Linked DNA regions of Struthio camelus. The protein of the gene in region 1 purifies or fractionates together with the protein of each later gene. This does not show direct contact. Links are inferred from orthologs where the notes say so. Each region holds a gene or a part of one and is shown in the gene's direction. Other genes may lie near its edges.

Region 1 (7,162 bases):
TTTTTACTTAAGCACTCTGAACGCCTTCCAGTTACTGATTGTGTAGTCCAGCCTTTCCAGGAAAGCCTGACAATAGATATTTTTTTTATTTGGATACAAAACCACCCTGTGCTGCAGTGACCCTTTTGACTTATTTTTTCCTGTGCTTTGTCATAGGCCTAGGGTAAATAATGCTACTGAACAGGCAATCCCCAGGATGGTGATATCAGCCCTGAATAGAGATCTTTCATGCAGTAGGTCCTGCATGAACCTGGTCCCAGATATTTCCAGGTAACTTTTGATATTTTCTACATGGTTGCATTTACCATGGGTCAGGATAATCCTCTCAGCTAAAATTATGTGCCTTTTCCTGTAACCTATTTGATTCATCTTCCAAAAATTAGTTCATGTTATGCCTTTCTCCATTAGTCTAAAGAGCCTGTAAGTACCAGGTATTTTCTCCACATGAAAGCACTTACTCACTGTAATCACCTGACTACATTTCACCTGACCTGATTTCAGTTTGGTTTTAGAATAATAGATAACATCTTAAAAAAACAGGTAGCTCAGTAAGCAGAGGAGCTAATGAAGCTTGTTTTCCTTTGGATTTGTAGTGCATGGTTAGATTCTCTGGTGTCTAGAGTGCACACATTAGTCAAAGATTTTCCTGCAACTGCATCAACATTAATGTGAGTCCATCCATAAGGATAATAATAATCCATGTGGATTCTCTGCTCTAATAACATAGTTGAACTCTTTAGGATCTTCCTTCTCTATCTGCTCAGTTATATTTTTGGAACGTGTAGGAAGGTAATTATTTTTAGGAGTAAGTTAATGGGGGAGGGATGGAGGGCTAGTAGAAACATACTTGTGATATGGTCACTTAAGTTCCATTTCCATAGGGAGCTAGACAAAAAAATCAGTTCTATGTGAAATAAAAACTGTTTGTTAAGTTCTAGGCAACTGGCATGTTCTCAATGGAAAATACTATTCCAGACGGTCACATTTGGACTGTCTTGTTTTTAAATTCTTTTTTTGGTATCATCATTGGGAAACTGGCATACCAGGATCCCTGCTAAGGCAATTCGAGTTACAGGTGCACAGCAGCTCCAAAATTCAAGTCTTTCCTGTGTAAAATCAAGCAAACAGTTTCTTGTAATTTGAGTTTAGGGACACCAAGATAGGGGAAAATCTACTATTCTTATGGGTGGCATGTATCCATAGTCACGGCTGTTAGAGAATTAATGAGTGCTGTGGTAATGAAAATGCCTGTGACAATAACACTGTATGCAGATCTGGTGAAAGCTGTACCTCAATATATTTGAAGAGACTGTAAGTAAAAAAAAATTCATGGAATAATATTTGAGATAAACAATTCTACAAAAGAAATCCCTAAATTTTTGTTTGTTTGTTTTTTGTTTTTAAACTGGACAGTTGAGGCCAGCAATATATTTATCTATTGTATTGTCTAATGCATCCTTTAGTCAAATATTTTGAGGTGTACTACCTATAAGCTTCACCGTGGAGGGTAAGTACATTACTTCCCCTTTAAAAGAGGGATAATTGAGGCACAGAGACCGAACTGTCTGTTTTCATGGACTGAGTTATAAGACAGCCCAGAAGGGAAATCACAAATTGTTATACTACATTTCTTACTTAGGGACAACAGCAGTTCTTTAGCTGTTGGTGAATTTAGGATTTAAGATTACTCAGGAATTTGACTTTTGAAGTTCTTTACACCTCAAAAAATGAGTATCTTAATCAGTTTAAAAAGCACCCTTAAAGATCAATTCAAACACCTTCTGTTCATAAGGTAAATAATATTCATTTTAAAAATTAGCAAATAAGTGAAGACATATATAGTAGATAGGGCTGTTAGTTTCACTCTAAGATAGAGAACTAAGTAATGACACACTTTCAAAATATTCAGCCAGGTATTTAAATATTCAGTTATAGAATACAAGCAATGGGTAGAGCAAATCTGGATTCAGTAAAATTTGTATGTTCCCCTCTCTGAATGCAAAAGTATGTCTTCTTTACTCTCCTCGGTCTCCTCCTCATTAATTCCCATGCAGTTAGCTCTTCTTTCAGTACTTGCAAAAACTTCCACTGCTGCCGCATTTGTTTTCACTCATGTGTTTTTTATTTTCCTAATTTTTCTAGTTTGTATTGGAAAACCATAAAGGTACAGCTGCTGCAACAAACTCCCCTTTTGAAGCTTGCCTGCTGCACGCATTTCTTTTGGAGTCTGAGATAGCTCTGAGTCCTAACACTTAAAAAAAAAAAAAAAAGAAAAGTATAGTATTTTTAATCACTATAATTACTGCTTCTGAATTTTGTTCCTTAGCTGTCCTGTCCACAGCTGTGTTGTGCAGAATTTCTTCAATGAACATGTTCTTGTTTCCTCCCAAACCAGCTCAGGAAAAATACTAGGAAATTTGACTCTCTGATACTTTTTTTCTGACATTTAATAACATGCCATGGATAAGTCCCTCGGCATTTTAGACTGTTCTTCTCATCTTTCATATGTGAGTGCGTTCAATGTGGATGTCTGGCCCAGATATCAAAATCAATATTCCTTCTGATTATATCTCAAATTTTCTGATTCTAGATACTGTAAACTGCAGTATCCCACAAACCCAGAGAACATTAGTCAAGAGTTTGGAAAGAAGTCTTGCATTCTGGAATTCAGGCCTAAAAGAAACAAAGTGACTGTTCTGAACTTTGTTTCACCAGATTAATTTATTCTACAATACAAGGTTTTTGTTTGTTTGTTTTTTAAATCCACAACCACCATGCTTCATTAATCTCTGCTTAACTAATGATCTGTTTAAATTCAGAAAGTTTGCCACACTGGGGATGTGTCTGAAGGAGGAGAGTACCGCTGTCTAATATCCCAGTATTTGTGTGTGTTTGTTAATCCTGAGACGTGAATTTTTACAACAAAGTCATCAACTAGAAAAACAGAGTTAAAGATGTTATGTCATCTATGTACAATGAACCTGGGTAAATGCAAGATTTCTGTGCACAAGAGCAAAAGAAAAAATGTAAGAAAAAAACAGAATATCCATAACTACGTGTCAGGACTTCAAATCCAATTTAATATTAAAAAAACAAAATACTCACGTGGAGAAGATGAACTAAAATAAAACACTGATGTCTCAATCATCCCAATATTTATAATTTCTCTTCTTGTCACTCAAAGGACTTATTAAGATCTTTCAGGTACTCAATTCCTCCTTTTTGGCTGGAAGACTCGGCACCTTTCTGAGGTCCAGAAACATGATTTTACATGTCTATCACCTCTTTGAAGAGACAAGACAGGATTTTCCTCAGATATTTTTCTAGTTATTTTTATAAAGTGTATTATTGTTCACTATAATCCTCTATGTTTACTTTCAGTACTTCCTACTGAGCTTCTTTTCTCTTCCTGAACATGTACTTCTAGGTAATTTTTTTTGCTTCATTACCAGAAAAGTTCTCAGAAACGTAGTTTAATTTGCTATAGTATTTTAAAAAACTAGGCTGCTATTAAATATTATCTATATAGATATACTTGGCTGGACTCCCACAGCAAAGTGTTAGGCATTTATTGTTAGTTATTTCCATGCACAAAAATTAAAATATTTATAAGAAATAGTGCATTGATCTTACTATTTATCTTCAGCATTTAATATTTTATCAAATAACTATGACCTGGAATAAGAGAAAAGGAACCTTATGGCACAAAAACTGACAAACTTTGGCAGAAAGTAACAGAAGAATCTTAGGTTTTTGTTAAGTTTTGGAAAATGATTAATGAAATTTGATGAGAAAAAGCAGAATCAAACATTAGAAACAACACTAAAAATGGATTATTGAGAACTATTTGGCAGCTTTCAAAGACCTGAAGTCAGCACGTGCACTTTCAAGACTAGAAACTTGAGTTGCTTCTAGACTAGACATCAGAGATTAAAAATACAGCATGTGACAAGAGAGGCCTCCATTTAAACTTCAAATATATACTTGGAAACATTGGACTCTTTGGGTTCTCTCATATGACCAGGGTGGAAATCAGACAGAAGGAAAGAAAACAGGGTACCTCCTGAAATTTTTATTGATTGCTTTTAGAAAAAGAATTTTTCTCAAATTACCCAACTCTTAAAATAAAACAAGTGTAATCAGAACTAAAATTACTATGCTGCTGGTCTTTGGAGCATGACATTTTGACATTTCTCTGATTCAAACTTACATTCCTAAAGAAAACTTCAAGATAGCCCCTAGAGCAAACACAGTATTCAAAACCTACTCTATTTCTTTTGAAATACAAATAGAAAGACTCCCTTTCATAACAGTGGGAACGTGTCATGACCTTTTGCTTGAAAGTACAGAAGTTTGAAACTGAGACATATCTGAAATCAGAAATGAAGCTTACAGCCTGCCTAATAATACAGTATTTTTTGTTATTCTTATTGCATAATGTCATATTTTATTTATGATGCTAATGATGAGGATCTTCTTCTTAAGGTAATTAAAATCAGACTTAAAATGAGTCATTCAGAGCACCCTGTTACTCATTAACAAAGTTAAAATGTTTTTACACTGTATAATTCATTTGCTCATTTTTTCTGTAATGAACAAACATTATCTGTGAATAGAAAGCTATAGGATCTTTATAATGGATAACAGGAGCTTTTGTGCCTCTTGCTGGTGAAAGTAATGGCTTAGATTTTTCTGAAGGCTAATAATATAAGAATATTTTATAAATATTCAGTAACACCATGACCCCCTAAGCCCCTCAAACCCTTTTGAAACAAAATGGGGAAATGATTAATGGGACCATGTGTAGATGCGATATGAGATATTACTCTGTCCTCCGGCCATGTTCTGAAAATCTCTCACGTTGCTGAAAGCTTGAGAACAACTCCCTTTTGTGCCTGATCCAGAAATTATACTGGTGAGTTATAATACTCTGCTGAAGAACTAGGAGTCGCTGCCTCAAGCACAGGCACGTCCACAAGGAGAGGGATTAAGCAGAACTGAAACCAGAACTCCGCTCCAGTATCACTCCAAAATTACCCTAAATAATGCTAGAAAATACATTACATACCTTTAAAAATATCCCCATAATGTTATCTAATATATTAAAACTACTGACTCATCTTTTGGAATCGGAGGCCTATATTCCCGTTTTAAAAGGATTACATTGTAAGTTATTGATTTATTAGGCTTCTTTTCTAAAGCTATCTGTATACAGTATAATAGTAAAGCTGGTATGACTTTTGAAAATAATTTTATTGAAGAATTTCTTGAAGAATCATGAAGAATTTTCCTCATTGGTTTAAAGGAATGTTTCAGAAACAAATTTTTATTATTTTAAGCACTTTCAGTTTGCTAATGCTTGTTAATATTAAGAAAACCCTCCATTAAGCTCTTCCAATTTTCTGACCAGCATCTGCTCAACAGCTACATTTATTTTAGAAAAGGGGAGAACAGTAATTTATTGTTTTTCCTGGAAGACTGTCTCTTTTCCTGGCTCGCTACGAATATCTTTGTTGTTGTTGTTGTTGTTTTAACCGCTACACCCGTTATGTTTATGGCTTATCCGAGCGCCCCACGCGTTGATCGCTTCCTGTTCCAGCAGCCCCCTGTGCCGGCACTGGGGGGCGAGAGGAAGGCCAGGCGCCGTCCCCATCCAGCCGGGGGGGGGGGGGGGGCGCTGGGCCTTCGCCGGAGAGGCTCGCCAGCGCTTACCACCCATTTGAGCCGAAGGGTTTGCCCAGCGGCAGCGGCCGGGATTGCTTCCGTCGGACTACCTCCGCGAGAGGAAGTTACCGAGCGAGGGGGAGCTCCGGCGGCCGCCGCGTCCCTCAGCGGGCCTGACGGGAAGCGCGGATACCCGCGGCGCGCCTCGCTCTCCGAAGCCTACCGGGAGAGGGCCCTCCCGTCCCCCCGGCCCGGCAGAGCACCGCCGCTGCCGCCCCCCGGGAGGGTGGTTGGGGGGGGGGGGGGGGGAAGGGAGAGCGGCGGGCAGGCGGCAGCTCTCGCGATGGCTCCCTGACGCCGCGGTGCGGCCGTTGTAACGGCCGTTACCTGGCGGGCGTTGTTTACGGCGGGGCAGCCAATGGGAAGGCGGGTCGCGTGGGCGGGGCTGGGAGGCCCGGCCAATGGGCGGGAGGGGCGGCGCGTTTAAACGCGGCAGGTGCCGAGGCCCGGCTCGGCTCGGCGGGGGCCGCGTCTGCGCCGTCATGCCCAGCCGCCCCGAGGACTACGAGGTGCTGCTCACCATCGGCGCCGGCTCCTACGGCAAGTGCCGCAAGGTGCGCCGCAAGGCTGACGGCAAGGTGAGGCGGGGGGGGGGGGGGCAAGGGTGAGGGGCTGTGCCGCTCCTCGCATCGCGCCTCGCCCTGGCGGGCCGGTGGTGCTGCGCATGCGCGGCCTCCCGGCGGCTCTTCGGCGTAAGCGAGCGGCTTTAACAGTCCTCCCCCTGCTCTGTTTCGTGTGTCAGTCTCTTTGAATTTCCCCCCTTCCTTCTTCCCTTCCTTCCCCCCCCCCCCAAGGTCTTAGTTTGGAAGGAGCTCGACTACGGCTCCATGACAGAGGCAGAGAAGCAGATGCTTGTTTCGGAAGTGAATTTGCTCCGTGAGCTGAAGCACCCGAACATCGTCCGCTATTACGATCGCATCATCGACCGGAGCAGCACGACCCTGTACATCGTGATGGAGTACTGTGACGGGGGTGACCTGGCCAGCCTCATCGCACGGTGCACGAAGGAAAGGTACGTGAGAGCCCGCTGTGACAGCCCTAGAGTCTCTAGCGCAAAGTATCTCGGGTGATGAAAAGAACAAGCCCGAAAGGGGGGGGTTGCATCCCTTAATAGCCCCCTAACATGTTCAAATCTAATCTCTTGAATGTAGCAACTTTTCTGAAATGTGAAGGGGTTGTACAAAATAGCTATGCTGGTGGGAACTGTGCTGGAGGATGCCACTAGTGATAGGATTGCTCTTTCTCTGTATCCAAAGAGTAAAGAACATTGACCCTTTCTGAGGCAGAAGGTGGTGAAGGGATTTGGGGTACTGTGCTGTGCATGACTGGGAGAACTTTAAACAGTGAGTCACACCTTATTGATCAGGAGCTTAGTCTGAGTTCTTTTAGTTTGCCAGTGAAAAATGCTTATACACTTTTCTAGACTGACATCACTAAA
Region 2 (7,658 bases), on another chromosome or scaffold:
TCCCAGACAGAACAAACAATATAGTTCTGTTGAAGAGCAGCCCATGTAAAGATATTAGAACAAATGCGTTGCTGATATTAAACAACTGCACTATCTCAGATATCTAGTGCAAAAGAGTAAAAAGGGAAAAGTAAAATATGGTAACTGTAGTGTTGCGAGCTTGATTTCTGGAGTCTAGCCTGCTATTATGATTGCACAAATTTAAAAATACATCGGACTGAACCCTTGCTTTAAAATTTGTACTCTAAGAGTTAGTCTTTTATATAAAAAAAAATGAGAATTTCATAAAACATCTATAAAGAGAGTAAATATGAAAAAGTTGTGTCCATGCTTAGCATTGAATTTAAGACTCAAGGTTGCTTTCTAGGTAGAAATTTTGTTTTCTTATTTTCTAGGTAGATTATGATAATCATGCACTTTATAAACATGGCAAGACAGGTCGTAGACAGTCCCCTGTTCGTATCTTCACCAACATCAGCCCAAGTACGATTGTACTTCCTGTCGAAGAGGGTTATAGGTAAGATGTCTTTACACTCAAGTGAATGTGCGAGTGTGTTTTTAATTGGGGCATAAAGGCTCAACATGATTTTGGGATGGTGACGTTCAGTATTGAGATTGCCTAACTTTTCAATGCTAGGCTCAATAGCAATTTCTGCTGTCTCAGGCTAAGCTCCTGTATTTTATAAACAAGGTATAGGAGAGTTGGACACCTGAAAAAAGGGTTTTACATTAATTAGTGTGGAATGAAGAGATTCCTCAGCTAGCCCATAGGAAATGTGCGTGCCTGTGGGAGACAGAGATTTACTGCTATCCCTGATAATCAGCTTGGTTGAGACAGTAGTTCAGAACATAAAGACTAAAAGAAGTTTTGGGGCAGGGGAATTTTACTGATGGAACTCAAATAGCTCTTTTTTTTTTTTTCTTTTTTTTTCCTGTTTGATTTGCTGCTGATAACGTATATTGCTAATTTGAATTTGAGCACCTGAATTTTACTGTTTTGTACTTAAGGTGTTTAAATGATTATGAGGCTCTGGTTGTATGAAGTGGTTGTTGTATGACTCAAAAAAAGTATCTTAAACTTAGCAAAGTGATTTTTGCGATCCTTACTTCTACTGTGGAGCTTATATAAAACTCATTCGTGTAGTTTCTTGAGCAAATCCTGGACCAATATGTTTGTAACTTCATTTTTTCCAGGTTATGTGCTATCTGTCAGCGATATGTTAGCTCTGGTAACCAGCACTGTGAGATATGCAATTCATGTACATCAAAAGTAAGTACTTTGACTTCTTTCTGGATGGCAATTTTAGCAGTAGTCGTATAACTTCTGTAATTTTTGCCCTGGTAAAAAGCTATTCTGGTATTGATTTCACTGGAAAACCCTAAGCAGTTCCATTCAGGCATCTTTTTATTAACTTCATAGGACATCGTTCACAACTCCCTGGGAATTAATTCCTGTTTCCTGACACCTCTGGGTTAGGAGGAGGACTGTAAAAGTTTGTTACTTGCCCCTTGTGATATACCTTATTCATTGTGTGTGGATTTTTTTTTTTTTTTTACTTTATTTTAACATATACCTTTCTTCTTATGTTTGGGAAGTTGAAGAACTTGCTAACTTCAAAATGTAGCCGTTCTGCTGTGGTTGTCACAGATTCTCAGGATTTTTGTTTTCGCGCTGCCCACAATGTATATGCTGTTTCTGAAAATAAATGGGAACATATGTCATGAGCTCAGTTTTAAGACACAATCAATGTTTTTATTTGTTTGGATTTTTTTTAAGAAAAAACAATGCATTTATTCATTCTCTTATTTATAGGATGGTAGACGATGGAAGCATTGTGCTCTTTGCAACAAATGTGTCAAACCGTGTAAGTGCAGAAAAATACTCTTCTAAGGAAAAGTATGCTTACTGTTTAAGCTCTCATCCAAAGAAACTGAGATGACAAATCAGAAAATATGCTATAGAAGAAATAAAGCTTAATCATTCAAAAGACAGAGAATAAAGGGAAAAAAATCTCAGTTTTATATGAATTGCCAGCAAATAACTTGATTGGGTAGGTTTCCGCTATGTGGAAATGTGATAAACTCCTGTTAAGTCACGGCCACCTAAATTCAAGGCCAGTAGTAAATTCCACGTATATTTCTTACGGAACAGCTTGCTTATTTTGATTTGTGGTGTTTAATGGGAATTTTATAAACACATAGGTAAGTGTTAAAAGTTATTTAAAGCTTGGTTTCAAAATGATCATTTTTCAAGTTCATAAATCCTGTTACGTATTTTACAGCTTGGTTTCACTGTAGTAATTGCAATTGCTGTGCTCTTCAAGACCATGCTTGTGAGAGGACTGAAGCTGGTTGTTTCGTTTGCGGCAAAGCAGGTCACAAGCGCAATTCCTGTCCCAGGCTCTCCCTCACTAAAACAGCTTGCCAGTAAGTTTGATATTGCATTAATAATTATATTAATGAAGCCATTATAAAGATGGCTTTCAGAGATGGGAGGTAATTCTTACTTCATGAAAATGGTTATAGGAAGAGAGAATTTTAGGCTTTGTATGCTGATACCAGCTTTCACTGTTATCTGTTTGCTGTATTGTTGCAGAGGCTCTGTGTGAAATATGTCAACTGGAGGAGCATACGATAAAAAGCAGCATGATTTAGGCAGGTCACTTACTATGTGTCCTAATTCCTTAACTGTAAGGGTTTGTCTAGATTCAACACTTGGTGAATGGTGCATAGGAGATACCTCTGTCAAGAAGATTCAAAATTAATCTGAAGTAATGAAACTTTTTTAGCTCCTTCAAATTCCTCACCAAAGGGCAGAGACTGCAGTCACTACTTTGTTTTTTCTTGATTCCTGTTTTGCTTATTTTAGTGTCTTTTACTGTTCCGTCTGGTACCTCAGGTGCTCTCTGTGGTAGGGTCTAAATCTCCAACCTGTAAGAGCTTATTAATGAAGGACATGTTAAGTATTTGTATTAGTACTTTTCTAACTTCCTCTCCAGAGCGTATTGGTTTGTTTGTAATTCTTAACTTGAATGGATGGAGCAGTAGAAGTAAGTTTTGACTCCCAAAAGACGTATCTCTATTGCATAGTGAGGGATTCAGAACTATTGGATCAGCTTCAGGAGGTTCACTGGGTACTTGCTAGGTGGTACTGGTCTACAGGTGCATTGCTTCATGTCCTGCTATGACATTACTCTGAGTTCTGGTTATAGAGTAGTAGAGCTAAAATGTAATGAGATAGATGAATAGATAAGATATTTACAACTCTCCTTTTGAAAAATCCTTCCCTTAACAGTTCTTTATTTAAAAAAAGTAAAAAGGACGTTATAAGAAAATAGTGAAACCTTATCTGTTTCTTCAGTTAGGCATATTTTGTGTTGTGATGGTTTAGTCCTTTCAGGCCATCGGTTAGTTCCTTTGCTAATTTATTCTTATTCCAGAAAATTACTTAGATTTCTTTTTCTAGGTAAAACATCTGTAAATGTTTTATTTATATTTAAAATTATACAGTGTTTTGTGTCATGAAATACGTCCTTTGTCAGAGACCAAAACCAATCCACTTGCGTCATAAATTTACTGTAAAATGGAATGTCCCTTGTACTTTTTGTGACAGTACTTCTCAGTCCATATGCTTATATGGACAGCTTATTTATATCACGAGCAAATGCAGGTGTATGTTGTCTGCTTTAATCTGCGCATTTCTTTCTTGCTTTACAGAACTGACAAAAAGAAAAGGCAGAAGACTCCAAAGAAGGTAAAGATGGGGATCTGTAAAAGATCAGCTGTGAAACATGCAATATTCGCCAGGAAAAGAATAAAGAAGAAGAAGAAGAGGCCCAGCCTTCCTTGTTGATACAAAGTGACCCAAAATTTTTTTTATAGCCTGCTTTGATTCCATATTCTGACCGTGTTAATATTAATATTCAAAATAAAACCTGATTGAACTCAAAGCGACAGTCCTTTTATGTTATACATCATTACTGACAAAAATGCAATATAAACCACTCTCTTACTATGTATTTGCTTAGTGTGACAATGTCGTGTGGCAAGGATTAGCTATTGCCTGATTTAGCTGGAATCTGAAGTCAAAAGGGGAGCAGCGGGGAGAGGTCAGGAAGGCTAAACTGGCTACTAGGTAGTGAGTGAATGCTGTGGCTTTGTGGGAGGTACGGGGGAATTTGGGGCAAGGGGGTAAGCGAGGATGGGTGATGGAAAGGCACAAATTCTTAAGGCTCCTTCTCGCACTTCGTTCCCCTCTGCTCAGAGTACCGTGCTGGTTTCCAGTTCTTCTCTCCAGATGCTTGCAGGGGGAGAAGCCTGAGGAAGGACGCTGAAAGTACTTCAGGCGCAGGTCTTTTTGTTCTGCTTACTAAGCAAGTATGCTTCGTGGTATTTTTAAAGTAGTTTAACGATTTGGATTTAAAAAATCATGAGTTTTAATATTTTTGAGATCGGCGCTGCTGCAGTAGCGACGGGAGCTATGCTAAAAACGAACCCCCATCGTCAGATTGCGGCGGATACGCGGGCACTAGCGGAAGACGAGACAGGAAGGGCCGGCCTTGCCGCGGCCGGCGGGGGCAGAGCAGGAAGCGCCGAGGCGGCCCGCGCTGCCCGCCCGCCGGCCGCCGGGCAAGCGCCGCCTCCGGAAGGCGGCAGCGGAGGGCGGCAGGCGGGCGGCCGGCGGGCGGCGGGGCCGGGGCGCTCGGAGAGGAGAGGGGAAGGGGCCGGCAGCGCCCCGCCGCCATGCCGGCCTTCCGGCAGGTCGGGGAGAAGCAGCTGCCGCAGGAGGTCGTCTTCATGGCCTGGTCTCCCAAGCGGGACCTCATCGCCCTGGCCAACAGGGCGGGGGAGGTGAGCGGCGGCGGCCGGGGCCGGGGCCGGGGCCGGGGCCGGGGCCGGGGCGGCCGCCTGGGGCCTGCGCGGCGGCAGGCGGGAGGGCCTGAGCAGCGAGGGGAAGCGCTGCCGCCTTTGCGTGGTCGTGTGCAGGCGCTGCTTCCCTTACCCGTGACATAAGCGTTTGGCCAAGCTTGCAAGAATTACCAATAACAAAAAATGTTCGTCGAGCTGCTTATTGCTTGTTATTCGTTGCCTTGTTCAAATTGCCAGGCGCGTTCAGCAGTGAGACTCTCAGTGCCTGCATCTGTGCAGTTTTAAAGGGCCCCTTTTTCAGTTACATCAGTTTTGCAGTGTTTTTTTTCCTGGAAGTGGTGGTTGTGTTCAGGGGTGGAGACGTGGTGTTGGAGAAGGAGAGAGAACCTGTGTTGGCTGCAGGCTTCTAGGTCTGTAGAGGGCACAGTTTGTCTCTCTGTTGCTGCCTTGCGAGCAGCGTCCTGTAAAATGACCTAGGAGTGACTCCTCTGCTAGAGAAGACGACACCACTTGAGATGTAGGACTTATTAAAGAAAAGTAAAAATTTTCATCTTGATTTGATTTACAAGCTACAATTAACGGGGGAATAATTTTTTTTTTTTTAATCCTTCATGTGTTTGCTTTTCAGGTTTTACTTCATCGGCTTGCAAACTTCCAACGAGTTTGGAGTTTGCCTCCAAATGAAAATACAGGAAAAGAAGTGACTGCACTTGCTTGGAGACCGGATGGCAAAAGTAATGTGAAGTATATGAGGTGACATGTTGCAATAAAAATCCTGTTGGAAATCAGTGCAAGTTGTGGTGATGATACCTCTTGTCTCTGAAGGAAATTTTCAAGTAAACTGTATTTGAAGAAAAGGGTAGCTTAATTTTATGTAGGTTTATTCAAAGCTATAAGGAAGGATACACTGCTGAAGGCAATTGCAAGAAAGATTGGCAAAGTGAATTTATGTCCAATAATATTACTTCCCAAGGTATATCAAAGCTTCCAGTTCATAACTAAGCAGAATATTTTCACGTGTACTACAAAATTCATTGGGAGAATAGAGACAAATCAGGACAGACTGAAGAGCCTGGCTTCTTTAGTCAAAGGCTAAATTTTAGAGGTGAAAATTGCTCTCTAATATTATGCCAGAGAAGGTAAAAAAACCTCTTTCCTTGGTAGAATAAGGTCTGTCAAGACAGTAATGTCTTACAGATGGAGATAACATTGAAATTAGTAGCTTAATAAGTATATGTTGGAAAGTAGTTTGATTTTTTTTTGGACCCATTGGAAGAGTGAGAATGGGAACAATATTCTGATAAGACATGAGCAAGTACTACCTGTTTAGTTTTACGTTGGAATTTAAGAAACTTTTTTTTAAGCTAGTTGCCTGTGATTACAAGGAAGTGGATGCAGTAACGTATGCCTGCCGTATGTTTTTATAGATAAATAGAGGTAAAAAAGGTAGCGATGCAAATGTTGTTCAGCAAGTCTACAATTTTACTTTGTTATAATAAAACCAAAACTGCTGTTGAATGGTCTTTAAATGTATTTCAGCCTTAAATTTGCAAAAACTGAGGCCCTGTAGTTAGAAGTGTGTACTTCAGTTCAGCATGCAGATAAATAATTGTAGGATCAGACTTTTGACCTAAATATGTTACTTAAAAATATGCTAGGAGTTCAAACCTAGGAGTGCTAGTATGCTAGAAGTGCCAGTGAGTAGGTTTCAAGTTAGAGTTTGGAAGCACAGTAGATAAAAGACAAGGAGACAACTAGATGTCCAGTAGTAGGCTTTGAAGGAACACTGTTTTCTAGTCCCGCATAAAGAAAATACAAAGTTTTGCATGTTGGTTATTTATATATTTTACGTTTTCTTCTCTAGTTTTGGCTTTTGGCCTAACTGATACCAAGCGGATTATTCTGTGTGATGTAGAAAAACCTGAAAGCTTACACTCCTTTGCAGTGGACTCTTCTATTACTTACATGCATTGGATGGAAGTAACCGAAGAAAGCAGGTAGGTCTGAAAAACTCTGCACATAAACATAGGCTGTGCAGTACTATCTTACTAATAATTTACAGTTAGTGTGTTACAAGTGGCTAAATAAAAGAATGCTGTCTTTTTCCTCACCACTTTGTTAAAATTTTCCCTTTTTATTAGAATATACTTCTTAATGTGCTTATTTGTAGTGCTGAAGTCTTAGTCTTGTGGTTCTTTTAGTTTATGCCAGAAATATTTCAGTAAGACGTTGAGCATCCACCTGTTAAGAGCTTGCTTAATCCAGTGGTAACTTGATGTATTGTTGTACAGCCTGCCTCCTGATCCAGTTTACTTTGATACCCACTAATGTGTTAATTTATTAAACTAATTGTAATAATGTTGTTATATTCATCTGCTTTGTTAATCGGGGAGAGCATTATATTTAAATCTTCATTAGTGTTTTCGGTGCTTTGGTAGGGTGCTTGCTCCTTTCACGTTTTGCCTTTGTTCTTACATCCTAATCCATTGGCGGTTCTATGATGGGTACAGTTGCTTCAGGATGTCACAGCGCTCCTAGTGACTGTGAGCGTGTGTCATTACGCAGTTCTCAGTAGCACTTGTGAGCTCGCGGGCACTGTGGTCCCTGTTTCTGTGATCTCACAAAACCATCTGATATGTACCTCGTTGCAGTGCAAGACCATAATTAAAAATTTATTAGAAAAAGGGAGGGGGCCTCACTTGGGAATTCTCTCCTCCTTAAAGTACAAATCTAAACGTGGTAAGAAAATAAATGCATCTTAAATCAGTCTAGCATTTTTCTCTTCATGG

The links.
Region 2: the proteins of NEK2 (region 1) and ANAPC4 purify together in Homo sapiens (affinity purification with mass spectrometry; 6 studies listed by BioGRID and IntAct, with this or other methods). This does not show direct contact. The link is inferred for Struthio camelus from reciprocal best matches to the Homo sapiens genes NEK2 and ANAPC4.

What each region holds. Positions count from the first base shown.
Region 1 is NC_090944.1:113,862,414-113,869,575, reverse strand, and holds the start of NEK2 (serine/threonine-protein kinase Nek2), read left to right. Parts: upstream 1-4,063; 5' UTR 4,064-6,125; coding exon 6,126-6,302; intron 6,303-6,466; exon of another isoform or gene 6,467-6,518; coding exon 6,519-6,736; intron 6,737-7,162. UniProt on the Homo sapiens protein: Protein kinase which is involved in the control of centrosome separation and bipolar spindle formation in mitotic cells and chromatin condensation in meiotic cells.
Region 2 is NC_090945.1:67,043,224-67,050,881, reverse strand, and holds the start of ANAPC4 (anaphase-promoting complex subunit 4), read left to right. Parts: upstream 1-4,646; 5' UTR 4,647-4,743; coding exon 4,744-4,851; intron 4,852-5,497; coding exon 5,498-5,603; exon of another isoform or gene 5,604-5,622; intron 5,623-6,733; coding exon 6,734-6,866; intron 6,867-7,658. Other genes in the region: rRNA N6-adenosine-methyltransferase ZCCHC4, read left to right, coding at 396-517, 1,195-1,270, 1,814-1,865, 2,283-2,427, 3,718-3,853. UniProt on the Homo sapiens protein: Component of the anaphase promoting complex/cyclosome (APC/C), a cell cycle-regulated E3 ubiquitin ligase that controls progression through mitosis and the G1 phase of the cell cycle.